2 linked regions of the Diceros bicornis minor genome follow. The protein of the gene in region 1 purifies or fractionates together with the protein of each later gene. This does not show direct contact. Links are inferred from orthologs where the notes say so. Each region holds a gene or a part of one and is shown on either strand. Other genes may lie near its edges.

The links. Proteins that work in one complex are often made in the same cells at the same time.
Region 2: the proteins of ANAPC4 (region 1) and ANAPC11 purify together in Homo sapiens (affinity purification with mass spectrometry; 8 studies listed by BioGRID and IntAct, with this or other methods). This does not show direct contact. The link is inferred for Diceros bicornis minor from reciprocal best matches to the Homo sapiens genes ANAPC4 and ANAPC11.

The regions. Positions count from the first base shown.
Region 1 is NC_080747.1:20,485,828-20,493,858, forward strand, and holds the start of ANAPC4 (anaphase-promoting complex subunit 4), read left to right. Parts: upstream 1-4,967; 5' UTR 4,968-5,046; intron 5,047-5,137; 5' UTR 5,138-5,147; coding exon 5,148-5,276; intron 5,277-8,031. UniProt on the Homo sapiens protein: Component of the anaphase promoting complex/cyclosome (APC/C), a cell cycle-regulated E3 ubiquitin ligase that controls progression through mitosis and the G1 phase of the cell cycle.
Region 2 is NC_080757.1:61,218,686-61,226,339, forward strand, and holds the start of ANAPC11 (anaphase-promoting complex subunit 11), read left to right. Parts: upstream 1-4,650; 5' UTR 4,651-4,692; coding exon of another isoform or gene 4,693-4,916; intron 4,917-5,064; coding exon of another isoform or gene 5,065-5,264; coding exon 5,265-5,373; intron 5,374-7,654. Other genes in the region: ALYREF (THO complex subunit 4), read right to left, coding at 992-1,006, 1,104-1,278, 1,380-1,443, 2,048-2,195, 3,654-3,785, 4,231-4,644, 4,693-4,916, 5,065-5,266. UniProt on the Homo sapiens protein: Together with the cullin protein ANAPC2, constitutes the catalytic component of the anaphase promoting complex/cyclosome (APC/C), a cell cycle-regulated E3 ubiquitin ligase that controls progression through mitosis and the G1 phase of the cell cycle.

The DNA.
Region 1 (8,031 bases):
TCAGAGCTCTGAGCTGAGTTTTATCCCTGGACATTAGCTGGACAGTCACAAGATTCTCACGTTGTTTAGTTGCTTAATACCCCTGCAGACTAGAAGTGTAACATCTGGTGGTCTCTCAGAAACTAAGCCTGAGTAGATGGGCCAGTTTCTTCATCTGCAAACATGGAGGCGAGGAGTGGGAGAAAACTAGAGATAGCCTGAACATTCCACATGCTTAAAGAGGACAAAGGAAACTAAAGGTGCTACCTAGTAACTGTACAATTAATACATGAGCCAGGTAAATCAAAGAAAATGAAAAGCAACTCTAATCCTACCACCCAGAGGTAACCACTGTCACAACTTCTGTGTATGTTCTGTCAGATAGTCTTGTCTAAATAGCTATACAGACAGACACACTCTAAAATTCCCCCACAAAAATGGAATGGTAAATACATACTGTTTTGTAATCCTCTCCTTTTTAGAAACATGTTGTGAACATCGTTTTATATCTACCACAATAGTAGTATTCTTCAGTATCGATGTACCATATTTAAAAAAAAATTAATCTGTGGTTGGACATCTAAGTTGTTTGTATTTTTTCCCTATTGTAAATGACTCTATGATGAACATACTTAAAACCAAATCTTTTCTTATTTCCTTAGGATTGTAGGGGAGGAAGACAAATCCTCTACCCTCTAGGTCCTTCTGGCTGGGCTATGAATTAAATTCACGTGAGACAATAACAGAGAGAATCAAACAAAGCTTTATAACATGTATACATGGGAGAAACTCAGGAAAACTGAGCAACTCAGCCATCTAGCCAAAGCCACCACGTTAAATATCATCTTCAGCTAAAGGCAAAGGAGGATATTGGGGGTAGTGGTTTGGGATTTCAGAGGGGAGGAAGACAATTTACATGGAGATGGAAATGCAAATGTTTGTTAAACAAGTTTTGGTGGGCCAAAAATGGGCTTGTTGGTGCCTCTCTAAGACACCTATTTTACATTATAGTATGGCTGTCTTATGGTATTATCTCCTTCCTGGAACAGGCCTTCTATGTTAAATTCTTTTAGGCAGTTTGAGGGAAGGTCAAATGTTCTTCCTGAGTCTTTTGAGCCTTTATTGTCTTCAGCTCGAAATAATCCACATACCAGAGTGGCGCATCTGGGGCAGCCTGCCCTGAACCCCATCAGGATAAATTCCTATACAGATGAATACTGGTTCTGTAGCTCTTATTAGAACTTCTCCCTCCAGATGGGAGTCACATGAGTTGGTCTCTGAATTTCTTTCCCAGAACAGCAACTGAAGTGATTGTGGGAGACAAACAAAACACTATGAATTGAAACAATTTAGTCTCACTCTGCCAGGATGGAACATCTCCCAAATGCACTTCATACTTAAAACTAGCCTTTGAGTAGTCATGGTGGATTGTCATATTGAACAGTGTTGAATGGTTGCTCCAGCACCATCTTCTCACCCTCCCTACTGTGTGCCTGCCATGGGGTTTGGGAGAGGGATGACTGACATCCTCTCCAGCTCTTGGGGGAGGACTTTTTTGGGACATAATCCCATCCCCTTTACCTGTGATTGATTTCAGCTAGGCTCGTAATGTTGGTTTAATCACGACGAAGCTTAGGACTTGAGTCTTGTGATTGGTGAAGAGGCGTTTGTTGTCCTTCTGAATGAGGAAGCATATAGCTCCAGTTGCTGTTGTCAGTCTTCCAGTAACCACATGGTGAGATGCACACCCTGAGCAGGGTCCCTGGTGACACCAAGTTGCTGGATCTAGCTTGCCCTGAAGTTGGCATTACTGCTGGACTTGTAATTTACATGAGCCAGTACAGTCATGTGTTGCTTAACCATGGGGATACATTCTGAGAAATGTGTAGTTAGGCGATTTCATTGTTGTGCAAACATCATAGAGTGTACTTACCAAACCTAGATGGTATAGCCTACTACACAACTAGGATAAATGGTACTAATCTTATGGAATCATGTCATATATGTGGTTCATCATTATGTGGCACATAACTGTACATTCTAGTTGTTACTTGTGCCACTTTGAGTCGGGTTTTTTTTTGTTGCCTAATGAATACAACTGTCATAGGACAGAGAGGGTTTTTTTTTTTTTTTCGTGAGGAAGATTGGCCCTGAACTAACATCTGTGCCAGTCTTCCTCCATTTTGTATATGGGATGCCACCACAGCATGGCCAGATGAGCGGTGTGTAGGTCCACACCTAGGATCTGAACCTGTGAACTCTGGGCTGCCAAAGCGAAGCGCATTAACTTAACCACCATGATACTGGCTGGCCCTGGGCAGAGAGGTTCTAACACCAACCACCATCTACATTTATTTCTCTTTCCAGCAAATCCAGTCAATTTGCTTATTTTGTATGTTTCACCTATTTTATGACTTCAAAATAACAGCCTTTCATATGGCCTAGGTTAGTCACATCCCACACACTCCATCTTCCATCCCTGGACACAGGGATTCCCACATCTTTGCTCAGGCCCCGACCCCTCCCCTTCAAATCTGCCTTTCCAGCTGCCTGTTGGCCATTGCAGATTTTCACACCACCCCTCCACCTGAAGGTAGTCCTCACTGAACTCCTTTGCTCTGGTCTACTTTCCCCCCCTTCCCCCTCATACCCCAGCCCCTAATCCAAGAACAACCAGTTCTCTTTCCTGAGTCTGTGCATCCAAATATCCCAACCCTTGCTTTCATTCCCCAATCAAATCAATAATCAGTTCTTGTTATTCTACTTCAGAAATGTCTCTGGACTCACACCCTTCCCAACTAGTCTTCCTGCCATCTTTACACCTCCAGTTCTTCCTTTCTAACCCATCATCACCCTTGTCACAAGACTTAAGGTCCTGAATAACCAATGAACCAGTGTGATGCTGTCAACAACACCGCCCCTCCCCCCCCAATAAATCTCTGTTGGCAGCTGCCTGGCCCTTCAAAATCCAACCCCATACCATTATAACATGTGGAAAGATACCCTCAGTATGAGCTAGCCCAAGGGGTGTAACGATCAAAGAAAACAGCCTTGCTACCAAAAAGTTATTTCAAAAAAGCTAGTTCTTCCATTTTATTTTTCAAGAACTAGGAAGAGGATACACAGAGCATGGAAATTCTTCTTGAAGTCTATTTTCCCTTCCATTTCCCTCCCCACCCCCTTCCCACTTTCCATGTGCCTCCTTAAAAACGACTGATGCCCGATCTCTGGCATTCCCCTTTCCTCTTGATTCTATGCCATAGAAGCACAAATAAACCAATTTGACTAAGCAGTGTTTTTCTTAGAGAATGAGGAACGCAAAGAAATGGAGTGGGTCAAGCTAAAATCTTTATGGGGCAGTGGGAGAAAGAAAAGGCTGGAAACACTATGTGTTAATAGCTCTTGTTCTATGGCTACTTTGGATCATTTCCAGTAACAATCCCTGCCCCCCACTCCCACCAACACACATGAGGTTCTATGGCCATATAAAATTATTTGCTGTTTCCCGGCCACATCTGGAACTCCACACCTGTGCTGTTTCCTGTGCTGTAATACCTTCCGGGAAATGCATACTCTGCTGTGAAGTCTTCATAATATGCATGTCCCATAGCACGGTGTATGTATACCTGTATTAACAGTCCTTTGCATGTGTTGTATGAGGGTTCATATTCATCATAAGTTTCAGGAAAATAGGCATACAGTTTCCATGAGAATGTTAAGTGGATAGATATCAGACCCCCACCATCCAGATTATCCATTCTTGCCACCCCAGAACACTAACACCCGAAAATGCGTTTCATGAATAACAAAGGCAAGTCCATTCTCGCCTTAAAAATGCTGCCTCTGCAAGAAGTTGGAGGACATGCTACATTGCAGCAAAGGCAAGGGAAAAAGCCCATCTGTGAGAGGGAGCAGGGCAAGCATCAAATCTAGAGTTAAGAACAGTGCCTGGCACAAAACAGTGCCTGGAATATTTGTTGCTGAATGACATAGTCTACCTCTGTAACCTACTTCCCAGGAGCAAGATCCAGATAGAGGGCAAGAAGATGGGGATTGTTGAAAGTGGAAGATCATGCCGCCTCTTTCCCCTTTGAACAAGTAGAAGTTTTTTTTTTTACCATAGATTTTAAATTCAAGAATGTCAAGATGATACTGTCAGATTCAACCCAGGTCATAACTTGTGGGAACTTGAAACACAACTGACACATTTAAATGTGTCCTGTATAAAGAAGCATCAGATGGATTCTGATTTACATGTCGGCCAGGCTGACCAGTGAGCCTTTTAGGGCAGAACCCAGCCCCGTGCATAAGTGTAGTCCCAGATTGTTTCACACCGTAGATGCTCAAATCGCTATGGGATAAATCCTGGATGAGCCCACAGTCCTCATTTATTATGGTGGGGCTACTACTACCCGTAAGTTGTGAGGCTTAAATGGGATAAAAAATCAAGATATTTGCCTACCTCAGAGGTTTTAGAGCCGGGCCCTCCCACCTTGGCTGCAAATTTGAATCACCTAGCGAGTCTTAATAAATGCTGGGTCCCCTCTCGTATTAATTCTCTTTTACTTGGTCTGGGGTGCTGCCTGGCCAAGGGGTTTAAAAACAATCTCTCCAGGTGATTCTGCGGAGCAACCAGGACTGAGAACTACCTGTTTAGAGACTGTCACAGGGGGCTCCAGCTGGTCAGGACCTAAAGTTGCCGTTCCTTTTCGTCTTCCCTTCGTCTCTGAGGCCTCACCCCTACACCTATGACTGTCCATTCACCCGTATCTGCGAACTTCCGGGAAAACGGAAAAAAACTGCGGGCGAGCACACACACGTGTAGGCACGCCTTACCTACAGACTGGAGCGCGGCCTCAGAGTCCCGGCCGCCTGCCCTCCTCCAGCCCCGCGGCCCAGTCTCCGCATCCGGGTCCAGCCGCCCGCCGCTCGCGCCCGCGCCGCCTCCCTCCTCTCGCGAGGAAGTCCGGGCGCCGGAAGTGCCCGGACCGCGCGGCGGCGGCGGCAGCCGGCCGAGCAGGGAGAGAGGCTGCCCGGGCCGTGTCGGTTGCCGAGGGGATGTGACAGGTACCCCCGCGGTCGGGGCTCTCCGGGGAGGGCCGCGGGCGAGGGCGGCGGCGGGGTCCCCTGCTGGCCTCCGACTGGGGTGTTGTTGCAGGGCCGCCCCCATGTTGCGCTTTCCGACCTGCTTCCCGTCCTTCCGGGTGGTGGGAGAGAAGCAGCTGCCGCAGGAGATCATTTTCCTCGTCTGGTCACCCAAGCGGGACCTCATTGCCTTGGCCAACACTGCGGGCGAGGTGAGTGAGCCGGCGTGGAAACCCCGAGAAGAGGAGCGCGTCACAGACTGCCCCAGCCTCAGTTTCCCCTTCTCTGGACTTGCGGGCCACCTGTCTACCCCGCCCCTCCCTTCCGGCCAGCTGTAAACTTTCAGTGAAAGGATAAGGGACCGTATACGGGAAAAATAATTTATATGCCCATTTTCCGTATTTTATGGTGAAGACAACTCTTTTCGCACAGCTTAACATCATCGTACAATCCTGCCTCCCAGGTCTCTTTTAGTCATTTATTTGTTAAATGGGCTTTTTAAAAGCCCATGATGTGTCACTCCTGAGCTAGGCATAGTAGTAGATCCACAGACCATGCCCTAAGTTTGCTTACAGTTTAGTAGCAGAAGAAAAATGAATTATTGTCAGTGTGCAAATGTGCGTGCATGTGGCTGCCACAGAGGATATGTTTAAGAATCTGTATTCTGTTGTCCATATTTTATACTACGGGTTGGTTAGCCACATCCCATTTAAAATCCCTTTAAATTACACAGGGAGTGACGTTTTACTGAATTCCTAATGGAATGTGCATGAAGGTTGTCAGCGTTTCTAGTTCAGGTTATATTACGCAACATCAAGTATAACCCGGTTGTACCCAACTTTCTCGTAAGGGTTCTTGCTACCTGGCAGCAATTTTGTAAGGAACCTTCACCTGTGCATCTTTCCTCCTTTGGCCTTTTGGCAGATTTCCTGATAGTTATCTGGTCAGGTGAGAGTTGTGTTGGGTGCAGCCAAGCTTGGAAACTAGGTGGTAAGGAAAACTCAGCAGCCAGAGAAACTTAGCAGCCTGCAAAGCTGCGTCACTATGTTGACTTGTCCCCAGGTTATTGATGTCTCCTTTCTCAGGCCCTCCATCAAATCTTCTAGTCTCCCTCCTCTGCCAGGGTGCTTTGGAGCTCTGTCATGGCTCTAGAGGGGAGCACAGATAGTACAGCCACGGCAGTAGGAGGGAAGGGAGAGAATAGGGGCATCAGTGTGATCAGATAGATGTGTTGTGGGCACTTGTTGCTTCCATTTTCTCAGTGAAGAAGAAAGAGCACTATCTAGGAGTGAGGATGGAGAAGAAAATATTGGAAGTTTGAGGAGAAGGGAAAGGTATGGAAAAGCTGACAAAGCAAGTGGACTGGGGAAGCCTAATAAGATTACTGGTTAGTATTAGGAGCCACCCAAATTCAATGGTCTTGTAGTTTGAGGGAAAGCAGTGAGCGTGGTTGTATGTGCATCTTGTATTCTGTTCAGCTATGTGGGTGCAGGCATGGCTGGGTTTAACCAGGATTGTTTTGCAAGTTTGGTAAAGGAAGAGAGATGCAAGAGGGTTAAGTTATATGCAAGAGGAATTATTGTCATGATGAACCTTGGATTCTAACCTGATTAAGGAGGGAAATGAGGGCATGTGTTGGGTGAGAAACAATGAATAGGTGGTAGAATCAATAGGTCGTATGACATGGTGAGGTTGAAGAATTGGAGTTGGGTATTAGTAGTGATGAGCTGGAAAGATAGAGGTGGTGGATGGAAAGTGGGAAGTTTGAAACTGAGATTATGGTAACATTGTAGTTGTTGGTAATGACAAGGTCAAGGGCGTGACCCTGGAAGTGACTGAAGTGAGGTAGAAGATGTGATCATTGGAGGAGAGGTAGTTAAGAACTAAAAAGCCAGGATTTTGTAGTTCTTGAAATCACCAAGAATGATGATGAATAGTGTTGGAGAGAATGGAAGAGCCAGGAGTCCACATCTTCAGGGAATGAGGGGAATGGCTTAGGGGTCTGTAGACAGCTGCAGTTAACTGGGATAGCAGGTGGTATGGTCTGATTGCGTGTGATTCAAAATTAGAGGATTTTAGAGACGAAAAATCATCCAGAAATGGCGTCAAGCATCAAGGAGGAAACCTACTTCATGTCCTAGCCCAATGGTAGTCCAGGGGATGTGGGACGCAAAACAGCCACCACCTGAGAACGCTGCGAGAAAGCAGTGGCCTCAGGTGAGAAGCACAGTTCAGAGAAGAGAATGAAGGTATAGGAGATCTTGATGATACCAGACCATGAATTCTAGAGCACAGAGGAAGGGTTTCAGACATAGGAATGGCAGAGATGGGCTCAGGAAAGAGCATGGAGTCTTGGGGATGAGCGATTCCTTGGGAAGCTCGGCTTTCCTGTGGTGACTGGTGTAACCATGAGTGAAGGACGCTATACAGTAAGACAGGGAGTGGTGGTAGAGCTGTGAGTGTGGGGAACTAAGAAGGTATGGAGGGGTCTTCAGGAGCAATTCTGAGGCCTTTTCTTCCTTATTTTCAGTGGTTGTGTAGAGGATGGAGTAGGGGCAGTCTTATTTTTGAAGCACAAGGGGCTTCATCTTGACCTTCCAAGGTGGGAATTTACTCGTGTAGAAATGGGGGTTTAGATTGGCTAAGTGACTTGTCCAAGATCTATGGCCAGTGAGTGACACAGCTGAAATTAGATCCCAGTTGTCTGATTCCAAGTTCAGTGTTATTTGACTATATTACAACTACCTTTGTAGTGCTATTTATGTTATTTCTTTTTTGTTATCTTCTTCTTGGACAGACTTCTTAATAGGTAAGTTTCCTGTTGATGTAGAAGATAGGAAAGCGTATAGGGTGCAGGGTTAAATTAGACCTTCTTGTTTCAGCATTTCTTTGAAAATGTCTTAAGTTCATTCAGACACAGAATGAATTCTTCTTCTAATTTCTTCTGATAGCTAAATATTACACTTA
Region 2 (7,654 bases), on another chromosome or scaffold:
AAAAAGACTTCAGATGGATCTCCATACCCTGCCTCCCACAGGAAGCTTGGCCCCTCCTGAACCACACTGCAGGGCAGGCTGGGCGTTGAGGCAAGTGATGGTCACCAGCCTGCTCTATTCTGTCTCAGAGGGGGTCCAGACGGGCACATGTGTCTGCAAGCCCCTTCAGTTTTCTGCAGGTCAAAAGAGACTCTGCCAGCTTCCACTAGCTGTTCCACCAAATACACAATTAAGAGAACACACTTACACCTTGTTCCCCCCTTGATGAGAAAGACCGAGAGAAACACCAGGGGAATAGGCTGCAAAGTCAGAAGTGCTGAGTCTGGGTTTCTGAGAACCACAGCACCAGAAGGAAAGAACAGTGCAACCTCATCATCTGAAATCTGGCAGCGACATGAGGTGCCTGCCATCCCTCACCTCATGGCACAGGCAATCAATAGGCAGCTGCAGGCAGAGGGACTACTGCCCCCTGTCCTCCCACCTACCGAGTCAGAGAGGAAGGAGTTAGGATCAGTGGGAGAGAAATGGTACAGTAGCAGCCACCACCCCCTGAAGCACTAACTCCAAACCCACACCAGGATGCCAGATGCCCCCTCCTCAGGTCCCATGTCCCTCCCTCCCACCTGGGCCCACACTGAAGTTCTGGCTAGGCAAGGACTCCAACAGTGAGATGAATCAAACAGTTCCAGTTCTACACGCATTTCTATTTTATTATGGCAAAGGTGAAAACACCACCTTCTCCACAACAGCAATCAGTAAAATTTATCCCAAAAATAACTTGGTACAAAACAGGTCTGTTTCAGAATTAAAAAAAAACAAAACAAAACCAAAAAACAAAAAAAACCTTTACAAGAGTTTTAAATCCTATTTTAAAACATAAAAGAAACAAATCCATCATTGGCCACACAGCCCCAGTCTGCCACCCTCCTCCCGTCAGGGAGCGCACACGAGATGTCTGGGTCCTGTCCCATGCACGGATTTGCTGGTCTGTTTAACTGGTGTCCATCTGAAACACAGGTAAAAAGAGGTTCTCACTCAAAACAGGGTCCCACACACCAGTCGGGCTTTGGTTGGCCCCAGCCTGGCCCTCGTCTGGGACTTACTCTTGCGTTATAAGCATCCAGCTGGGCGTCCAACTCCTCTGCAGAAAGCTGCTGCTTTGAACTCCTGCCAGTGCCTCTGCCCCTGCCCCGGCTGCCTCCACGGGTGCCTCTCCGGGAGCCACCACCACCGAAACCTCCAGAACCACGGTTTCTAGTCATTCCACCTCTGTTTACACTAGCAAGGAAAAGGAGACTCATTTCCATAAATGGAGAGGCCTGAAAGATGAGCAGCCACACAGGACAGGCCAACCCCATCCCAGAGGCCCCACAACTCACCTCTGTGCAGGTCTCCGCTGTGTGTCAATCTGTGATGTGACAAGCTGAATGTTCATGGGGCGGCCTGTGGCAAAGAATACAAGAGGGCACATTCCAGTTAGAGGATTCTGAGACTTGCCCAGGTGGCACCATACCCTGATCTCCATGCAAGCACTGGAAAGGCGCTTTGTGTGCCTCAAAGGCTCCTGACAAGAGATATGGCCTGGAGATACTGCCGGGAGAATAAGACGGCACCAACGACAACCCCAGCAACACCTCGCTCTTTCTTAGTCCAGTTGAGGTGGGTGTCTGTTCAGGTGTCCAAGGTGCTCACGGGCAGAAAGATGTGGGTGATCTGATGGAAGAACTGGTACCTTTGTCTTTATGACTATAGCCCCGAACTCAGAGATGTACTATAGCAGTTCTGAGAAGACTTCACGGAAGTGAATCTTCCGGAAGGAGCTGAAGGAGGGGAGGGATGTAGCTTGCTGGATGGGGGTTCACAAGAGGTTGGCTCAGATGTGTGGGGCAGCACGAGAGGTGTCAGAATAGAAGAGAGAGACAAAGGGGTGAATACAAAGTGCCTTCAGCCAGAGAAGTAAGCCGTATTCCTGCATGGACAGGTGCCAGCCCCAAACTCCACAAACTAGATACAGCCCTCAGTCTTCCTGGGCTGACCCCAAACGCACCATCCAAAGGGACACCGTTGTACTGTTTCATAGCTTTCAGGGCATCTGCCTTCCGTTCAAAGTGCACATCAGCTGTTCCTAAACTGCGGCCAGAGCGATCATAGTGCACGGCCGCCTTCTTCAGAGTTCCAAATTCAGCAAAGAGTTCCTGGGAATTGGAAAGAGCAGCTGTTAGCAAAGCTGTTTTTCTTCTGGTGGCCCAGGGACAATCCCTGGAAGTGTGAGCTGCTTTGGGGATATTTCCCTGGGAGGCAGACTTACGTATGGGGGGCAGGGCAGTGGTAGCGGGAACTGGGGGAAGGGATGGGGCAGGTGGGACAGCAACTTCCAGGAGCAGCTGGGCCTGAGGGCTCCTGCCAACTTGGGGACCTGACACCTATACTGTGATGCAGGTAAAGGATCACAAAGCCCACCAGTGAAAGGCACGAGACTAAGTCACTATCTTCTTCGACAAAGGAAAATTTACAACACACTCAAGGACTGTGCCAAGAAACAGCAAAGGCCAACATCACAGAGCAAGGGATGCTATCTAACATGTGGACCAGCTCAAAGGGCCCGCTGATTCGGGAGCCCTGACCCAGCCCCTCCCCCAGGGCAGATTCTGGCTCACCTTTCCCTCTCCTCCTACTCAAGCCTGCCGCAAAGTCTGAAGTCAAGCGCTGCCATGGAAACTGCCCTGACCTCAGGCAGGCTGGGAGTTGGAGAGGGAACCCAGAGTGTGGGGCTACTCCGGCCGCAGGCACACAGCGGGAAGTGGAGTTCACCAAAAGCGGTTTCCAGTGGATGCCAGAAACCACCTTAAAAAAAGTGTTGAGACACTGTGAGTGCTCACCAGCCTTGCTCTGTCCTCCCACGGTAAAGTCAAACGCCTGGGCTCTGGGAAATTTAACCCAGGAAGGCCCAGTACCCTGACCCAGCCATCTCCAAGACTGACCCCCAAAATATTGTTACTAAACCAGAAAAGAAGTTTAAACGCGTTCGGAATTCAATCAAAAAAAAAAAAAAAAAAAAAAAAGGCTTCAACCAAAGATGGGTTTGAGAATCATGCCACTAACAAGACCCAGGGGGATGGTGATAAGTGAGACAACATGACACAAGTTCCTTATGAGACACAGGGCTCAAGGCAAACAGAGCTGGAAAGATGACCGGCACCATCCTGCTTCTGTGCTTTTCCAGTTCTACAAAAGAAAATCTTTCTCCTCCCAACAAATCATTAAAACAGGTACTAATTAAAGCAAGCAAGCAGCCTAGCTTTATCAGTAACACAGGAACGACTCATATCTAACCAGTCTTTTCCTGTTAGAAACTGGGAACCCCGGCAGAGGATTTCCACTCACAGAACACATCTTAGTAAGGAGCAGCAACTCCTTAGACCAAGCTGGGGGCCTGTCTCCCAACACAAACTGACCTACTTGTGGGACTTTCAACTCTGGCATGACCTCTGCTTTGCACTCCTGCCGCCCCTTACAGGGGACAGCCGCTAGCTCTTGGGTGCCTGGGAGGGCTCACTGTCTTAAGATGGGGGGGGACTTCAGGGCCACATCCCAAACAACACGACCGATTCCGTGCAGGGTGAACTGCTCACCGAGAAGCTCCAAACCCTTACCTGAATATCAGCGTCGGATACTCCAAAATCCAGATTTGACACCAGCAGTTTCCCACCCGTCTCCACGCCGGCACCACCCCCAAATCCGCTGTCGAAAAGGTCGTGTTGCCATTTGTCAGGAAGTTGTTTCGGCTGAAGGAAAAGAAAAACACCAGAACAGAAACAGACCCATTGAGTCTCACTCCAGGGCTCTCTCGCGCGCTCACGGCCACGGCAAGACCCTCTCCGATCGGAGCCCGGAGAAGAGAGCCCAGAGGACACTGCAGTCCTCCGCTTCCCGCCTGCGCGCGCTGGGCCGCAGCCGACCCCGCCGAGGCCCCATGCCCCGCAACTTCTCGGTTCCCTCCTACGAACGTTCCGCCGCCAGTGCGGCCGCGCCCTACACCCCCTCCGCCCCCGGCGCCACGAGGCCCGGCGCCCAGCCGAGACAAAAGGCCGGCAGGGTCTCCGCCTCCTAGGCCCGGCCGGCCGCGCGACCTCCCCGTCCAGCCCGGCGCCCGAGCCACCGGCCCGGCCCGGCCCGCTGTCCTCTCCGCCACGCGCCGCCCCGCCGCGGCCGGCCGGCCTCCGCACTCACCCTGCTGTAGGGCGCCGGCCGGTTCCTGCCGCCGCCGCCCGCAGCGCCGCGGGCGATGGCCGGCCGGTTCCGGATGGGCCCGCCGCCGCCTCGGTTCACTCGCGCGGCGGCCTGCGCACCGCCGCCACGGCCGCCCTGGGAGCCGGCCCGGCCGCGGCCCCGGCCCCCGCCGCGGCCGCCTCGCTGGCTTCGGTTCAGCTTAATGATGTCGTCCAGAGACATGTCCATTTTGTCGGCCATGGCGGGCGCGGAATCGGCCTCAGCTAGAGCCCGCGCGTCAGCACGCTGGAGCGTCACTTCCGGCGCCGCGCGGAGGCTTCCGGTGCCGCGTACTCGGAGCGGCCGCCGATTGGCTGCAGGCGGGCGGGGGCAGCGGGGCGGAGCGGCGCGTGCGCGATAGGACGCGAGGCTCGGCTAGCGCAGCTGCGAGGTGCTGGGAGCTGGCCCCGGTCGTTTTTGTACCTTCCCGCGCCGGCGGCGCTGCCAACGGAAGGCGGGCGGGGCGGCGCGCGATTCGCCGCGGAGGTGCGAGGGCGCGGCCGTTGGGGCGGGTCCGGGCACCGCCCTTCTCCCTTCCCGGGCGGCGGGGGGCGCGGGGCGGTGCGGCCGGGGTCGGGAGCCTCCCCGCCTCGGGCGAGTCCGGTGTGGGGCGCAGGACGCGCGCACTGGGTGGCCTTCCCGGGGAACTGGCGGGCGGTCGGTGTTCGTCTGTCACCACGGGTAGTCCGCGCGGCCCCCTGTTGTTACTACCGAAGCCAGAGTGCCCCTCGCGGGCGTCCGGGCGGAGCGTGCGGCCGACGCAGGTGCCCTAGATGAGTGGCCAGCCTCAGTCGCGGGGCTCCCGCTCTCCCAGGGGCAACCACAGCCCGGCCGCCCTCTCGGCGGCTGCCGGACTCTCAGGGCTCGGACGGCGAGTCCCGCGGGCGCAGACCCTCGGGCTCCGGGCAGCGCCTGTCCTTTGGTGCTGAAACGCTGAGCTCTGCAGACTAAATGTTGTCGGGTGCTCTTTTCGCTCGCCCGCAGGCTCCGCCGCCATGAAGGTGAAGATCAAGTGCTGGAACGGAGTGGCCACTTGGCTCTGGGTGGCCAACGACGAGAACTGTGGCATCTGCCGGATGGCCTTCAATGGCTGCTGCCCGGACTGTGAGTGTCCCCTGTGCCCGCTGCCTCTGAGCTCTGCCTGCTCGTCCGGCCTCGGCGTCTCCCCAGAAATATCTGCACGAAGTTCTTGGGTTTGGGTTTCCCTTTCCTCCAGAAAAGTTGACAGAAACAAGCCAGGCGGTTTGGGCCGTTATTTGTATAAAGACCCCATCAAAAGTTTTGTAAGAAAAAAATGGTGCAGGGCCGGCCCCCTGGCTTAGCGGTTAAGTGCCTGCGCTCCACTACTGGCGGCCCAGGTTCAGATCGCGGGCGTGCACCAACGCACCGCTTCTCTGGCCATGCTGAGGTCACGTCCCACATGCAGCAACTAGAAGGATGTGCAGCTATGACATACAACTATCTACTGGGGCTTTGGGGAGGAAAAAAAAAAAGAGGAGGATTGGCAATAGATGTTAGCTCAGAGCGGGTCTTCCTCAGCAAAAAAGAGGAGGATTAGCATGGATGTTAGCTCAGGGCTGATATCCCTCAAAAAAAAAAAACCCCCCCTCCCCCCAAATATGGTGCAGCTTTTTTTCATGATCAGACTTGGCTATGAAACACATGGGACAAAAAGATGTGTGAAAACTTTTTATTTGAAAATTCTTAACCAAACAAAAAAATGGAATGTTATAAGGACACCCCCCCCCCCAATCCGGCACATAGACTGACAATGGATAAGTAAGATGTTTTGGTATTTGTTTTATGTTTTAGCTGAATGGTTTTCAACTAAGGGCCAGCCCCGTGGCTCAACTAAATGATAATTGACATCTCACCCCACTCACTTCAGCTGCATCTCTAAATGTAACGCTGTTTTTACCCAGCACTGTTGTCACATCAGACAACATGACAGTTCCTTAGTGTCACTCCCCATTCTTAGTCCTTGTTCATATTTCTCCAGTTGTCCCCAAATGTCTTTTCATTCTTGGGTGGTGTGAGCCAGGACTGCACATCTGGTTGCTCTGTCCCTTAGCTATTTAATCTAGAACATCCTTTCTCTGCCTTTGTCGCTTTTTTTAAGATATCTGACTCTTAGAAAGTTGGTGTGTTGCCTTGCAGAATGCCTACTGTCAGCTTTTATCAGTTTCTTCTTTGTGAGGCCTTTGGATTGTTCCTTTGTTCCCAGTATGTTCTGTGAAGTAGAAAATATTTAATTATATATTTGTCAGAAGCAGATTTTTACACCTGTGAATTTAGTTTTCGGTCAGACCCAAGTGAACATGAAGCAGAACGGGGGTGACGGCTTTGCCTAGGGGGTGGTGCCCCAAGGAAAGTGGGCTTGGGGAGTGCTGCCGAGCTCCGTGCTGCCCCGGGGGTGACCAGGCCTGGTTTTGGGGGCGAGGTGAATGCCCAGAATAATCATAGGGCTTTGCTTCTTACAGTGAAATTCAAATCGTTGACTTTTAGTGCAAATACTATTTTATTCTAGGCTTAATGTTTACATCTGCCTTGGCTGAAAGGAAATCGCATCACCCAGGAGTTAATCCATCCTGATTTAATCAAACAGGCAGAATGTAATCTTAGGAAATAATTGATTGGCTCTACTTGGCCAGGTTTTGCTTAGTAGCAAATGAGAATAGCAAGGCACAAGATCTGTCTCATCTAATCTGTTTTAAATCTCCCTTCCTGAGGGTACAACAAAGGCTGTGGGAGCCTAAAGGGACAAGTGTTTGCAGTTTCCTAAGCAACAGATTGTTATTTTGTGAAAAGACAAGTTCTGGGAAGCATGTGACCTCAGCCCATTGTGGGCCAGTGCACTTGTGTGTTAAAGATGGCACCTGTGGGCCAGCACACGTACCATTCCAGCTGTGCCCAGGGCTGGGCGTCTCCACGTTTGCGGGCATGCTCAGGTTTTGTTGAAGTGGGTCCGTTGGCTGCAGAGAGTAGGAGGTTTGGAGTCTGATCTTCGGACCTGCTGGTTGTTAAGTTAGAGTGGGCCGATTGTAATATGCGAAGCGTTTGACAAGCCTAATAAGGTGCTTTCTATCCAGGTTAAGTGACATTGGGTTTCTGTTACTAAACTTGAACTCCTGTGAAAAATCCAGAGTGACTAAGACTGTAATAAATCTGCTCCATGTCCAGAGGGCTTTGGGAATAAAAGTCTTGTTAAGAGGTGTTTTAAATAAAGGACTTCTATTAAGACACTAGCAAGCTCTTGGTGAGTCACTGTCATTGTGAGTCACTGTCATCTCGCTCTTGTGCTCATCAGATGCCTCAGGCAGACGCTAGAATGAAGCAGCTCCTTTGTCCAAACGAGCCCTGCCACAAATGGACAGGGTGGCTTCGT